2 linked regions of the Macaca mulatta genome follow. The protein of the gene in region 1 purifies or fractionates together with the protein of each later gene. This does not show direct contact. Links are inferred from orthologs where the notes say so. Each region holds a gene or a part of one and is shown in the gene's direction. Other genes may lie near its edges.

Evidence for each region. The genes of interacting proteins can lie anywhere in the genome.
Region 2: the proteins of LIG3 (region 1) and TDP1 purify together in Homo sapiens (affinity purification with mass spectrometry; 4 studies listed by BioGRID and IntAct, with this or other methods). This does not show direct contact. The link is inferred for Macaca mulatta from reciprocal best matches to the Homo sapiens genes LIG3 and TDP1.

The regions. Positions count from the first base shown.
Region 1 is NC_133421.1:44,515,540-44,519,106, forward strand, and holds part of LIG3 (DNA ligase 3), read left to right. Parts: intron 1-1,463; coding exon 1,464-1,595; intron 1,596-1,967; coding exon 1,968-2,047; intron 2,048-3,109; coding exon 3,110-3,197; intron 3,198-3,567. UniProt on the Homo sapiens protein: Isoform 3 functions as a heterodimer with DNA-repair protein XRCC1 in the nucleus and can correct defective DNA strand-break repair and sister chromatid exchange following treatment with ionizing radiation and alkylating agents.
Region 2 is NC_133412.1:163,256,226-163,259,792, forward strand, and holds part of TDP1 (tyrosyl-DNA phosphodiesterase 1), read left to right. Parts: intron 1-719; coding exon 720-786; intron 787-2,479; coding exon 2,480-2,587; intron 2,588-3,567. UniProt on the Homo sapiens protein: DNA repair enzyme that can remove a variety of covalent adducts from DNA through hydrolysis of a 3'-phosphodiester bond, giving rise to DNA with a free 3' phosphate.

The DNA.
Region 1 (3,567 bases):
GCTCAGCAGGGAGAGCCAAAGAGCCCTGACTTGGGTTAGTGAGGATAGAGCTCCCTGGAACAGTGATACTTCTTTTGCCCACAGTGATGTTGGTTGGGACAGTGAGCTCACTTGGTGAGTTGCTGTGTATCTTTTGTGTTTCCATGTCCCAGATGCTTCCCGTGAGCTAGACTAAGGCTTATATACCACAGGCTATTGGGCTGTCATTCATTAATTTGTTCAAGAATTATTTATCAGATGCTTCCCCATTGTTATAGCTAGTGGGGATATAGCAGTGGGAAAACTGGACAAAAGTTCTGGCCATCATGAAGTTTACATTCTGATATAAACACAGTCTTATGGGGACATCTGAGAGCCAAATTCCTGCTCTAATCGGGGTGGCATTTGGAACCTTACTCCTTAGCCCTTCTCCACTCCCAAGGCTACTGTGAACCTTTGGGGGTGTCTTCAGGAAAAAGCAGCTGGAACATCTGGCTCCGGTAGCTTGTGAGCAGATGGAATTCCTATCCTTGCTATCCTTTTCTTTCCTAGCCCAGATTCAGTTTTTCAGAGCCCCAGGGGGTTCAGGGGAACGTGTTGTGTGGCCCCTATGCTTACCTCAGCCTTGCCTTCCTGCTGGAGCACTGGGAACAAAGCAGGCCATTTGTTTCATATGTTCAAGAGGAGGGCTAAGCAGTGGCCTCATTGTGGAGCTTTAGTGCAGGTTCACATGTTCTGTGAAGCACTGTAAATCACTGAGGAGCTGCTTCTGGTGAGGTTGGTGTTAAATAGACACCATCTGTGACCCAGGAAGAAGTCTAAGCACACTTTTCCAGATTTAGTCCTTTCCTTAATTTTCCCTTACCCAGTGTTCACTCATCCTTTGCCTCTCCTGTGATTTGGGTTCTTAAAGGGCTAGGTTAGGGATTGAAGGGGAATGGCATGGATGTGCTGGCCTTTCCTGTTCCTGCTCTAAGCATCCTGGGTAGTGATGGCTGTGGGTTCAGGGCTCCCGCTCAGAGAAGACACTGCTCAAGTTTCCTTGTTGCACCTGAGGGGGTTCATTTCTACCTTTCTGTTTTCAAGCAGTCTGTTCTCCCCTAATCCAATCCCCAGCCTGACAGTCACACATGTTCCACAGTAGGCACTAATCTCTGCCCACCCACCCTCCTCCTCCTCCCCCAACAGGTTTAATCTCTCTGTTTCTTCCATTTGCCTCAAAAATTGTACCTTCTCTACAGCCCATAGAAAGTGACTCAGCATGGGCTGACCTCTTCCTGGGGCTGGACAGAAGTACTGAAACAGATGGCCTCTCCCTCTTGTCCAGGTGGCTCGCAAGGCCTAGCTATATGTTTTGCGCATTAGCTGGGCCTTCCACATGTTGTTCTGTATCCCATCTGGGGCCCAGGCTTTGCCCTATATGGCATGGTTTGGGGTCCCTGCTGCCATGTCATCCCTCACCAAAGCTCCCCTTCTGCTTTCAGGTAGCCCACTTTAAGGACTACATCCCCCAGGCTTTTCCTGGGGGACACAGCATGATCTTGGATTCTGAGGTGCTTCTGATTGACAACAAGACAGGCAGACCACTGCCCTTTGGGACTCTGGGAGTGCACAAGGTACTGCCTCAGGGCTATATGTGCACGAATGAATGAGTATGTACATGTGGATGCACGCTGCAGTCTGAAAAGGAAGGAAATATCACTTAGTGTGGGCCTTATTCTTCGCTTCTGACCTGTTTCTGGTTTGGTTTTTTGTCTTTTGCTTTTCTCCTCAAAAGGGACTGGTATTGGGAGCCAAGTTATAATTGGGTTGGTTTCCATTTAGCACTATCTGCTCAGTGCCCTTATGGCCCAGGGGCTTCAGAGCAGAAATAGGACTTTTTCATTCGGTGCCTTAGGGGGCCTCCAGAAGTGGACTGGTACTCCTTATTTTGTCATGCTCTGTGACTTTTGTTCTTTGTATACCTACTACCTCATTTTCCCTTACAGAAAGCAGCCTTCCAGGATGCTAATGTCTGCCTGTTTGTTTTTGATTGTATCTACTTTAATGATGTCAGCTTGATGGACAGGTGAGTTGGCTAGCATCTTTAAACCCAGAAACTGCCAGGAATCTGTTTTCATTTCCTCGATGAGGAAGATGGGGGCTTCAGGTTGGAAAGGAGGGTATGGGGAACCAGCTGGCACATACGTTTGCACTCAGGAGCTTGCCAAAGGCAATGGCAAGAGGGAGCTGAGAGGAAGCACAATTGCTACATGGTCCGCTCCCCGTTCAGTGTAAGAAAGAGCCCACATGTTGACTCCATCTCGTCTCTGAGAGCTTAAGTCACAGAAGAAACCCAAACCCCCAAAGAAGTTTCTCTACTAAAGCAAAATGGACTATTGCAGAGAAATAGACTGTGAGCATATGGGGTTTCAGTTTATTTCTCCAATGACACCCCTGGGGGCATAAGGCAGATGGTTTTCAGCTCAAACGTTTTGATTTCAGAAGAGACTGACAACAGGAAGCTCCTGATTATAGGGGAGGCTATGGGTGGGACCATCTTGGAGAGAATGAGCAGTCTTGACTTAGCTGCATCCATATGCTTGTGCCTGAGAAACCAATATCAGCCCTTTCCTCACTTAGAAATGTATCTCTACCCTGTTCCTCCTGCAGCAGCCACATCCTTGATCGGGGAAGGAGAAAGAAGTAGAGAGGGAAGGAATTGGTGGGGGTAGGATTTGGGGTTTGGGTCCCGAGGCTTGTCTCAGCCTGCCTACCCAGGGGTTGGCCTTGGGCCTGGGGCAAAGCAGGGTGCGGGGGATAAAAAATGAGAGTTGGAGTCACTTTTCAAGTGGTACCAGAATTTATACAATCTGGGCTAGAGGCCAGTTCTCCCTTGGCTCGCTTGATGAAGTAGAAATAGGAACTACAACTATGAACTGGCTCTATGCCACAGCTCACAATTGTCCATCTTCGGTCACGATGGAGCCCTTGCAGCCCTTGACAGCAGAGCTGTTACACATGAGGTCTTTGATCCATGGCAAACCCTTTCTTAAAGTAGCAGCTTTATCCTTGTGGCCCTTCCTTCCTCAGAATTCCTAATAAGGGTGGGAGGATCCCGGCCTAACCTCAGCTCTCCTGTTCTCCTCAGGCCTCTGTGTGAGCGGCGGAAGTTTCTTCATGACAACATGGTTGAAATTCCAAACCGGATCATGTTCTCAGAAATGAAGCGAGTCACAGTAAGTGAAGACCCTACGCTAGGCAGTGTCCTAGAAGTTTGAAAGCAGGGCAGAGAACTCCTTGGGTCAACTGCAACTGGAAGAATAAATCTTAATGTCTTATGCAGCCTCCTGATAATGTTTGCATTTGACTGTTGTATATGTTGTCTGCTAGTCTTCACCCAGAAGGGTAGGGCATGGAAATCCTTCCTAGGTAAGCCCCCTGTGTTTCAAAGCCACAGCAGCCCTCTCGTTGGAATGAGAAGCAACCTGCTTTCTAACCCTTTGTCCCTTATATTCAAGTAAGGGTGTTTCCATTGGGCACTTAAGTAGTGTTTGAAAAGGAACAACCCCCTCACCACCTTCTCCACTCTCACACCAACTTCAGCAT
Region 2 (3,567 bases), on another chromosome or scaffold:
TATAGATGTTAAATTACCATCACCAAGTAATTCAATTATAATTTTTTCTTTTCAAAGTGTACTTTTAATGGGGAAAAGCGTGGTATTTTTAACAAAGCTGTTTTATAACTGGCTTTGAAACTGAATGGTTTTAGTTATCTGCAGTTGAAGTTTTGAAACTGAATGGTTTTAGTTATTTGCAGTTGAAGCTTTTGCAGGAAAAAGCTCTGTTCCGCTTTACTTGGTGAGTTCTCGTCCTCAATGAGGTAATTTACTTTTATTCTTGACACAGGAGAAGAATTGTAAATAGTCCTTACATTCCTGATGGGAGAAATCTTTTTAATGTGTTCATAATTCCTGCTCTGAATGTTGAATGGGTTTCTAAAAAGTGATTAGCAAGTTGTCATTAGTTTTCACTATGTTTGTGTTACATGAGCCTTATTTAAAGGCATCCCATGACTATACTTTGTAAAGTATATGATCATCACTTACTTTTGCTTATAAGTCTGGATGTTTATAAGATTTGTATAAAGTTAAAACTGAAGGAAGGAAATCTCATTAAGAGAACATATCTAATGCAAGTATAGAGATATTCTTTCAAATAACTGTTCTGTAAGATGAAGTAATAGAAGTAGTTTTTTTCCTGTTACCTTCTTGCTGTTTATTATAGATTTTCCTCTTAATGAGGGCTCCTCAAATTATATTTCATAATTTTTATTGTTTTATTTTTCTTTTAAAAGCTGGGGGCTCTCTTCCCTATAGCATCCAGACAGCTGAAAAACAGAATTGGCTGCATTCCTATTTTCAGTAAGTAATTGGTTTAGACTGCTGCTATTGCTTCTTTAGGAATTAGAATGTTATTTATGTCACTGGTTTGTTTTTTTTAAAAAGGAACTTTATGTAATATAGCTATATTCTTTCATCTACATATGTTAGTGATAGAAATAATTTAAAACAAGGTTTTGAATTTTTTTTTGGAATAGGTTCTTAATACCAAAGAGGAAAATTTATTGCTGTGAGGTTTCTATTTAAATATTGGCATGCCAAGAAAGATAAATAAAAGATCATGCTGGGTAGTTTAGAATTTACATAAGCAGTATTTTAGTTCATTTTTCCAAAATATAAAGTATCATTATTCTGTCTGTACCATCATATGTGCAGCTGCAAGCTTGGTGAGGGCAGATTCTATGCTGCTGTTTCCTGAGGATACAGGATAGTATCTGGCATGTTGTCAAGAGTTCAGTAAATGCTGAGTGGACAAGTGAAGGGAATGTGCTTCATCCTTCTCCAGCCACAGCAGTTGCACAGCCTGCATATGCAAGGCCAGTCTGTTTCATGCTTGTCTCAACAGGTGTTTGCTGTGCTGGTTAGCCAGAAATGAAAGTAGAATTACTTTGAATTATAGCTTTCAGCTGTAATTCAGTGTGTTATCCTGAAGCTTTTCTTTAATGCTTTCTTGAGAGGTTTTTCCTTACAGAGGACATTTTTTTATATTGAACTCCTTTCAGTATTATATTATTAAATTCACTTGAATGAAGACAGTGATGGTACCTACCTAAGCCTGATTCTGTTTTCACAGACGATCTGGTAATCTGGGGGGACCATCCTCCTATAAGTAAGGATTGTTGCTTCATTATATAGGTTCCCATAGAACCATAGTCTACAGTATTGGAAACTTAGAAACCAAACTCAGATTTGTGAATGTCAGCATTTGACTAAAGTGTTTCTGCCCTCGCTTTTCAGCATTCATTTTTTTCATATACTGTTTGTATTTTGTCTTTTTTGTATTTTGTTTCATTCAACAAGCTTTTGCTGAGCCTGTATCGTAACACTCCATGGGAGCATGATTCTTCCCTTTAAGGAGCTCACAGTTCAGGCAGGAGACATATGCACACATGCTGTTAAAAGCACAACAGAAGGGCCAGGTGCCGTAGCTCACACCTGTAATCCCAGCACTTTGGGAGGCCGAGGCGGGCAGATCACGAGGTCAGGAGATCGAGACCATCCTGGCCAACATGGTGAAACCCTGTCTCCATTAAAAATACAAAAAATTAGCTGGGCGTGGTGGCGGGCACCTGTAGTCCCAGCTACTCGGGAGGCTGCGGCAGGAGAATGGCATGAATCCAGGAGGTGGAGCTTGCAGTGAGCCAAGATTGCGCCACTGCACTCCAGCCTGGGCAACAGAGCAAGACTCTGTCTCTAAAAAAAAAAAAAAAAAACCAGAAATAATATGTATGCGTGTATGTATGTTCATGGCAAAAATGGAAAGGCTATATGCTGAAAGGTTACAGTTCTTGTGAGAAGTGGGAAGTTTGTAATTCTAAAATGGGCATGCGTTATTTGAACGCAGTTGTATAAAATATCACAGGTCACAGAGTCGTGTAGCCACTGTTAATTTTTAGATAATAGGCTTTTTCTTTTCATGCAGTTTCCTAATATTAGGATTAAGATCAATTTGTTTTATTTTGTAATTAGTGACTTGTGTCTTTTCTGTCACTAGCAAATGGTCAGCTGAGACTTCTGGCCGCAGCAATGCCATGCCACATATTAAGACATATATGAGGCCTTCTCCAGACTTCAGTAAAATTGCTTGGTTCCTTGTCACAAGGTAAACAGTCCTTACATTCCTGATGGGAGAAATCTTTTTAATGTGTTCATAATTCTTGCTCTGAATGTTGAATGGGTTTCTAAAAAGTGATTAGCGAGTTGTCGTTAGTTTTCAGTATGTTTATGTTACATGAGCCTTATTTAAAGGCATCCCATGACTAATCCCTTTGTAAAGTATATATGATCGTCACCTGCTTTTGCTTATAAGTCTGGATGTTTGTAAGATTTGCATAAAGTTAACATTTACTTCTATTATTTAATACCTCAATAGGGGTTATGCAAATTGACATTTGGGGTAAGTACAGAAGAATAATGAAATGTTAAAATTAATATTTTTTTCTTAGTTTCTCCTTAAGTAATTAAAACCCGAGGCATTCAAATCTCTTATGTGTCCTTTTCTAAAACATCTTTAAGATGTAATTCACATACCATAAAACCTGCCCATTTAGTCTCTACTATTTAATGGTTTAGTATAGTCACAGAATTATGTAACCATTGCCATAATCTAAATTTAGAATATTTTCATCACCCCTATAAGAAACCACCTACCTGTTGGCATTTTTGTGTCTATTTTTATAGGAAGATAAATTGCTATGCCCTTTGAAAACTAGAACTTTAGTTCCTGACTCCCAGGCTGAACCGAACGATTAGGCATCTCTTCATTATTCAGTAACATAATTAATGTCAATAGCAACTAATTAAAGTATCACAGAGTAGAATTATTTCTTTAAGAGAGGAACAGCACTCATGAACAAACTTTTAAACAAAAGAGCCACTTACATCTTCTTGGAGAAAGAGAAAGATTTATTTTAAGGAACTGGCTCATGCAGTTGTGGGGGCTGGCAAGTCCAAAATCCATAGGGCAAACCAGCAGCTTGGAGATTTAGTAAGACTTGGTGTTGCAATCTTGAGTTTCTTTCTACTTTATTGGAAAAGTTTAATTTAATGTCTGTTTGGGTGTTGTTTTCCCTCAAAGTGTAA